2 linked regions of the Zea mays genome follow. The protein of the gene in region 1 interacts with the protein of each later gene in a pairwise test. Links are inferred from orthologs where the notes say so. Each region holds a gene or a part of one and is shown on either strand. Other genes may lie near its edges.

Evidence for each region.
Region 2: the proteins of 1-aminocyclopropane-1-carboxylate synthase 7-like (region 1) and 14-3-3-like protein interact in a protein complementation assay, tested with the Arabidopsis thaliana proteins (2 studies listed by BioGRID). The link is inferred for Zea mays from reciprocal best matches to the Arabidopsis thaliana genes ACS7 and GRF2.

Annotation. Positions count from the first base shown.
Region 1 is NC_050098.1:6,385,307-6,388,788, forward strand, and holds 1-aminocyclopropane-1-carboxylate synthase 7-like, read left to right. Parts: upstream 1-1,169; 5' UTR 1,170-1,328; coding exon 1,329-1,670; intron 1,671-1,774; coding exon 1,775-1,935; intron 1,936-2,062; coding exon 2,063-2,948; 3' UTR 2,949-2,974; downstream 2,975-3,482. UniProt on the Arabidopsis thaliana protein: 1-aminocyclopropane-1-carboxylate synthase (ACS) enzymes catalyze the conversion of S-adenosyl-L-methionine (SAM) into 1-aminocyclopropane-1-carboxylate (ACC), a direct precursor of ethylene.
Region 2 is NC_050097.1:231,390,722-231,394,871, reverse strand, and holds the start of 14-3-3-like protein, read left to right. Parts: upstream 1-1,347; 5' UTR 1,348-1,432; coding exon 1,433-1,851; intron 1,852-1,959; exon of another isoform or gene 1,960-2,108; intron 2,109-2,716; coding exon 2,717-2,795; intron 2,796-2,888; coding exon 2,889-3,011; intron 3,012-3,510; coding exon of another isoform or gene 3,511-3,546; exon of another isoform or gene 3,547-3,640; intron 3,641-3,657; coding exon 3,658-3,774; intron 3,775-3,856; coding exon 3,857-3,919; 3' UTR 3,920-4,150. UniProt on the Arabidopsis thaliana protein: Is associated with a DNA binding complex that binds to the G box, a well-characterized cis-acting DNA regulatory element found in plant genes.

The sequences.
Region 1 (3,482 bases):
ATATCTTAATGCCCCCCGACGACGGCGTCTCGAAAAGGAAGCGCCATGTATATCTTTATTTCTATGGAGGGAGAGAGAGAGATAGACAAGCCGTCCGTAGTTAGAGGGCTCATATCATATCATTCGTCGCTCTTGTTCAGTCGCTGGCCTCTCGAGGTCAAACAAACACGTATGTAGACTACTAGCTGCTGCTGCTGCTTAATTGTCGTGATCAACCCTAATTAAACGCTGGGGCAAGTCCACGATCATCTCTGTCACACCAACCACTCCACGCATGCATTACTCTAATCCATCTCCATATCCCCATGGTCCAGGCAGCAGATCGAACAGGAGTTGCAAGAAGGCTCAGCATGCATATGGCAACGGAGACAAGCCAGCGCGAGATGTTTAGCTAGCTTTCAGTCGACGATCAATTCCCCGGAAGAGATGCGATGCGATGCGAGCCTGTTCAGCTGGCTCGTCCCTTGGCAGGCTGACATGCCGTGCCGTGCCGTGCCGTGAAACGAACGAACGAAGCCGGCAAATATTCCCCTGGGGGATCTCGCTGGCGCCGAACCACCAGCAACGCCATCGTCGTCGTCGGCCATGAGCTCCCTCCAATCGCGTCGCGGGGGGGGGGACTAATAAACAAACAGATCAACAGAGCGGGTGGCTACTGGCTACGGGGATAATGAGGCGAGGCGCCCATCTGTCCGCACGATCGCAGGAGGCGCCCTCCATGCCATTTGCCTGCCTACTCCCCCCAGCCGGCGAAAGGCGACAGAGCGGGGGCTGCTCTCGCTGCCGCGGGGAAACAGCTGGACTCCGCCGTGCATATTCCGTATCCGCGGCATGATCGTCGTCAGCGCCTCCCTCCTTTCTGCCCCGCCCATTGCTCAGCCTCAATCATTGGCTCCGGCTGGGAACGACGAATCAGCAAATTAAGGCTTTGCGTAGGTTGAGCGCACTCGCGCTTATAGTAGACTAAAGCTCCCGGCTTTCCCTTTATTGTTACTATTATTATATCGTTTGATTTGCAGCGGACAGTCTGGTCGTTTCCGTCTGCTCTGGACCCTGCCTTCAATTCTCCGCCTTTTGACATCTTGGGTGGTTTCACACGGGTATATATACTTGACTCGCCTATATATGCCACCCCCCACACACTTGGCCAGATCGACCACCGCATCACACAGCAGCAGCCTCTTGTGCTCCTCTCTGTCCTTTGCTTGCTCATCCCTCGACCTCGAGCGGCGGCGGCGGTCACTGCACTGCGTGTGCGTATCCATCCATCTTGCAGGCATCGTCGTCTGCACCGCGCGCTTGTGCGTGAGCCAAGGGCGGCAGAGGCGATGGGTGGCAAGCTGTTGCTGGGCGCGAGCCAGAGCCGCCACGCGCACGCGGTGGCGTCGCCTCCCCTGTCAAAGGTGGCCACTTCCGGCCTCCACGGCGAGGACTCGCCCTACTTCGCCGGGTGGAAAGCCTACGACGAGAACCCCTACGACGCCGTCTCCAACCCCGGCGGCGTCATTCAGATGGGCCTCGCCGAGAACCAGGTGTCCTTCGACCTCCTCGAGGGGTACCTCAGGGACCACCCGGAGGCCGCGGGCTGGGGCGGCTCCGGCTCCGGCGTCGCCAGCTTCAGGGACAACGCGCTGTTCCAGGACTACCACGGCCTCAAGGCCTTCAGAAAGGTGCGTGGTGACCCCGAGCGCCTGCTCTGCTCGTCTTGTTCGGTGTCCTGGATAGACCCTGCCTGGACAAGTGCAACGTACTGACGGCGTCATTTTGCTTGCAGGCGATGGCCAACTTCATGGAGAAGGTTAGGGGCGGCAAGGCCCGGTTTGACCCCGACCGCATCGTGCTCACCGCCGGCGCCACGGCAGCTAACGAGCTGCTCACGTTCGTCCTGGCCAACCCGGGAGACGCGCTGCTGATCCCTACTCCTTACTATCCTGGGTAAGCGGAGCGCTAAGAAGCATCCAGCATGCTGCATGCATGCACGGACCCCCGGCGCTATGCTACTGTTACACCGCAACAGTGCTCTACACAGACAGACAGACAAACTGACATGCTCTGCTTGCAGTTTCGACAGAGACCTGCGGTGGAGGACGGGGGTGAACATCGTGCCGGTGCACTGCGACAGCGCCAACGGGTTCCAGGTCACGGCCGCCGCGCTCCAGGCGGCGTACGAGGAGGCCGAGGCAGCGGGGACGCGCGTCCGCGCCGTCCTGCTCACCAACCCGTCCAACCCGCTGGGCACCACCGTGACGCGGCCGGCCCTCGAGGACGTGCTCGACTTCGTGGCCCGCAACAACATCCACCTCATCTCCGACGAGATATACTCCGGCTCGGTCTTCGCGGCGCCGGACCTGGTCAGCGTGGCGGAGCTGGTCGAGTCCCGCGGCGACCCCGGCGTCGCGGAGCGCGTCCACATCGTGTACAGCCTGTCCAAGGACCTGGGCCTCCCGGGGTTCCGCGTCGGCGTCGTGTACTCGTACAACGACGCCGTGGTCACCGCGGCGCGCCGCATGTCCAGCTTCACGCTCGTGTCGTCGCAGACGCAGAAGACGCTCGCCGCCATGCTCTCGGACGCCGGGTTCGCGGACGCCTACGTCCGCACCAACCGCCAGCGCCTCCGGGCGCGGCACGACCACGTCGTCGCCGGGCTGGCCCGCGCGGGCGTGCCGTGCCTCCGCGGCAACGCCGGGCTGTTCGTGTGGATGGACATGAGGCGGCTGCTCGGCGAGGCCACCACCGTCGCCGGCGAGCTCCGCCTGTGGGACCGGATGCTGCGGGAGGCGAAGCTCAACATCTCGCCGGGCTCGTCGTGCCATTGCTCGGAGCCTGGCTGGTTCAGGGTGTGCTTCGCCAACATGAGCCTGGACACGCTGGATGTTGCACTCGCTAGGATGAGCCGCTTCGTAGACACGTGGAACAAGGAAACGACAGCGTCGACGCAGCAGCACTAGCAGCAGCAGCAGCATACGAAGTAAATTTTTTGGAGGGTAAATTACGTCATTGGACAGATTAAATCACAGAGTAGTTATACAGGGGGATTCTTTTATGGTTTTTCGATTGATGGTAACATCGATTTTGTAACAATAACTATCGCCTCTCAGATGGAGGAGGGACACATATATGTATGTATTTATAAAAATTCTTACTTTGGCCCAAGCAAAAGCGTCTCCGCTACACATTCAGTATTATTGTTTTGCTTCGTTTTTCCCTCCTGAGTTGTGGCAAACAAACACAGATGACGTATGTTTGCTCATTCATTCATATATTTATATCTGCCTGGAAGCGAACCTAAATTAGCAACAAGAGAGAACATGTCCATTCCGAGTACTGAGAATAAGTGCAGCAGAATGAATGCTGGTTGTTGGATTTAAATTAGATGGATGTTGTTTGTCGTCAGAAAATGGAGAGAGAGAAATCAGTTAGCGAATCCCTTTCTCGTTTTATACTGCTGGTTTTCTATACTTTTGAAGAAAAAAAACTGTTTT
Region 2 (4,150 bases), on another chromosome or scaffold:
TTAGCCACGTAGGTGTGTCTAGTGTCGTCATATGCCATGTCATGTGACCACTCCGAGCCCACATGCTCCATGCGCTATATACCCGAACCCCTAACCCACACACGCCCGTGAAACCGCGAGGGCCGGCTCTGATACCACTTGTAACACCCTGTCTAATCTCTGGACCAGCGGTACTTACTCCTAACAGCTCTCTATGATCATATATCGTCCCCAGAGATCAACACGAGTCTTTTGTGCGCACTTTAATTTGTCCTCACTCATGCGCATCCAAGAAAACTTCCCGATCGGTCAGCCATCCCAAATTGCTTCAAGTCAAGCACGCCTAACTTGGAGGTTCTTTCGAGATAGGCTTCCGAAAAAGAAGATGCACCTTGTTTGTATGAGTACTCTATTAATTCTATTAAGCCTTGGTCTAGGATATTACCATCCCAGGGGCCAGGATATCACAGTAGCGTGACAACAGTCGGCATATGCTACATAGTTGGTGGTGGTGTTGTGTCTCCTCGATGGGTCTAGGGTTGGGAAGGCACTCGCATTCTCTCGCCCTTCTCAGACTAATGCCGGGTGTGGGTGCCTCTTGGTTTGGAGTTGCTCCGGCTGGGCTTCTCTCTTCGTTTGCGTGCTCTCTCCCTATATGTATCTAGCGGTATACTACATATCTCGTCTCCAGATGCTTAGATCTTCATCGTGTCTTTCTTCGGCAACGAACATGCCTTCTCTTCGTGCTCTACAAAACCTTGAAAGTGGGGGAGACGAGGGATGGGATCCCTGATTTACTGCCTATAGTATCGGTTCGAGAAGTCAAACCAACTCTTAATTTAAAAATAAGCTGTATATTTATAGATCTTCACAGTACATCAGCATTCTCAACGTAAAATACAAACACCGGAAACAATATCTACACTACGTACATCGTTAGACTACAGATGTATATGAGATTATATTTTAAAATTATTCTGTTCTAATTTAAATGGCAGAAGCATGGGGGAAGCTTCACCTCCCATCACATCCTCAGATTGTGACCGCTCAAGCCTCTCCGCCTCACGTTCCCCGCCCACACCTCGTTCACGCAGCAAACACCATTTCCACCCAACCAGAACTCCTCACGTGTTCCACCGTCCATCCGCCTCCCAGCCATAACGCCGACCACACATACTCCCTCCCGCACCGAACTCCCCGGCGCGCGCCACGTTCCTTTGGTCGCCACGTCATCCCACTGACATGCGGGCCCCGCACCCGCTGCCCAGGGTTCGCGTCCTCCTCAAATGCCCCCACCCGGCCACCCATCGCCTCCCCCACCTCCGCACAAACTCGTCGCTTCCGCTCCACAGGATCCTCTGCGCCACCCACAACCGTGCGACCGTCCGTGCTGCCGGCGACCCCGATCCGCCGACCCGTCCCGTCCCACCACACCCTACCGCCGCTCGCAGCTATGTCGCCGTCGGAGCCGACGCGGGAGGAGAGCGTGTACATGGCCAAGCTGGCAGAGCAGGCGGAGCGGTACGAGGAGATGGTCGAGTTCATGGAGCGCGTCGCGCGCTCCGCCGGCGGCGCCGGCGGAGGGGAGGAGCTATCCGTGGAGGAGCGCAACCTGCTGTCCGTCGCCTACAAGAACGTCATCGGCGCCCGCAGGGCCTCGTGGCGGATCATCTCCTCCATCGAGCAGAAGGAGGAGGGCCGCGGGAACGAGGCGCACGCCGCCTCCATCCGCGCCTACCGCTCCAAGATCGAGACCGAGCTCGCCCGCATCTGCGATGGCATCCTCGCCCTGCTCGACTCCCACCTCGTCCCATCCGCCGGCGGCGCCGAGTCCAAGGTCTTCTACCTCAAGATGAAGGGTGACTACCACAGGTATACCATTATCGCTAGCAGATCTCGCTTTTTATTCTGCGTATCCGCATGTAGAGTCTAGACTATGCGATCTATTTATGGAGTGGCGAAGGAGGGAGGAGTCCATACCATGGGAATTGTGTTTTGGAGAAGTTAACTTGAGATCTGTGCGTAGATGTTTTGTATGGTAGCAGGGGCATGAGGCTCCCTGTAAAAACCTCCTCCAACCGTGTATACAGTGTGCGTAGTACTCAAAAGGTTTTCTATAAAAGGTCCCTGTATGTATAGGGAGAAGAATCTTCTCTATATAGGGGGAGTGATATGCTCTCCCGTGATATTATAATAATGTGTATTATGGTATTATAAATATTGTTTGCTTCTAATTCAAAGAAAAAAGATAAATAAATGTTAATCTGTAGTGTATAGAGGAAGCTGGATTGTAGTGTATAGGTGGAATGGTTGGAGACAAAACATAGTGGGAGAATAAGGGAGTTTAGTGTAGTAAAATATATTAAAAAATACAGATAAGGGGAGATGTATAGGGGAAATGGTTGGAGATGGCATGAGTTCTTATTATCAATTGTGTCTAAATTTAATGTGTGGTCTTTTTGTTTGAATTTTTTGTTATTTGTGGCCGAAAGTTCAAAAGATAAAAAGGGGAAAGGGGTTGTGTAGGCTGTGACGTTTTTTAGTGAGGTTGTTGTCCTTTTATTTATGTTGCACGTTGAAGTTGTTTATCTATGAATTTGCCTGTATGATGCACGATGCTGTGCTGTCTCCTGTAATGCATGGTTGAAAGATGTGAAATTGTTTCATGGTTTTTTTACCCCCTACCCTACAGCACGTATATCTTGTTATCTGATTTCTCCACATGATGATTTGGCAGGTACCTTGCTGAGTTCAAGTCTGGTGCAGAGAGGAAGGATGCTGCGGAGAGCACCATGAATGCCTACAAAGCTGCTCAGGTTGGACCATGGTGTACATGTTGATAGGATGAAGGTGTACATATCTTATTAATTGTGATTCATAGTTTCTGGGTTTTTTTGGGGGGTTTGTAGGACATTGCTCTTGCAGATCTGGCTCCAACCCACCCCATCAGGCTTGGCCTCGCTCTCAACTTCTCAGTGTTCTACTACGAGATCCTGAACTCCCCTGATCGCGCCTGCAACCTTGCAAAACAGGTTTGCTTCTTCTCCTTCTATCCCCCCTTTGTGACTTGCTTTCATTTTGAGACCCTTTGTGATTTGTTTTAATTTTGAGACATGATGTCTCCTAGATTGTGTGTAGCTTCTGGGCAACGGATTGAGTGTGCATAAACAGCTCCTGTCTCCATCAGCTTATGTAGGGGTTTGGTTGATTCAATTAAAAAAAGATGGTGCAAAGGAAATAGTTCACTTGCCTCCGTCTGCATGCCTATTCACTGAAACAATTTTTTCTTACATTAGGCACTGTGTAAGTGATGGATCTAATTACTCTGGGTGCTAACAAAATGCTTCTTTTGCTACCACCCACGGAGGCTGTTGTTTATTTTCACTCAATCTGTCACGTCTTCTTGCATACATGTTCTACTACATATTGAACATTGACAAGCTACAACCTAATGATTACAAGTCACCTAGAGAATTCTCAATTTCCCTTGTATGATGGTTGCACTGTCTAACTTGTCTGCAATCCATGAAGTTGGACATGACGGTCTTCATACAGTACTTGAGATGACAGATGCATTCCCTATGCAACGAAGTACTCTTGACGTTCCCCATCAATTTAAGCATCTTGGGCTTTATATTGGATGCAGTTGGCTTGAAGTAAATTTAATCTTTGTTGCAGGCCTTCGATGAGGCGATCTCTGAGCTAGACAGCCTGGGAGAGGAGTCCTACAAGGACAGCACTCTGATCATGCAGCTCCTGCGCGACAACTTGACCCTATGGACTTCCGACACCAACGTGAGTTCCTTCTCGGCCCCCTCTGCGTATCACTTGCCATGGCTCTCATCTGACGACCATTGTTCTGCGTTTTCCTCGCCAGGAGGATGGCGGCGACGAGATCAAGGATGCTGCTGCCCCGAAAGAATCCGCGGAGGGTCAGTAAGATGGATTCAGTCTCACGACCTGCTGCTGCTGATGTTGAGGAGTGACCAGAACCAGAACCGCCGTCCTCGATTCTGATAGATTATCTTCTAGTATACCTTGTGTTGTTGCTGTTGTTGTCGTCGTCGCGCCGGTGTATGCGATGAAGCTGCCATTGCTGCTGTTTTAATTAAGCATTCTAGATGTTATACCGCATGCTTTGTTTCGGTTTCTATGTCGATAAATGGTGGCC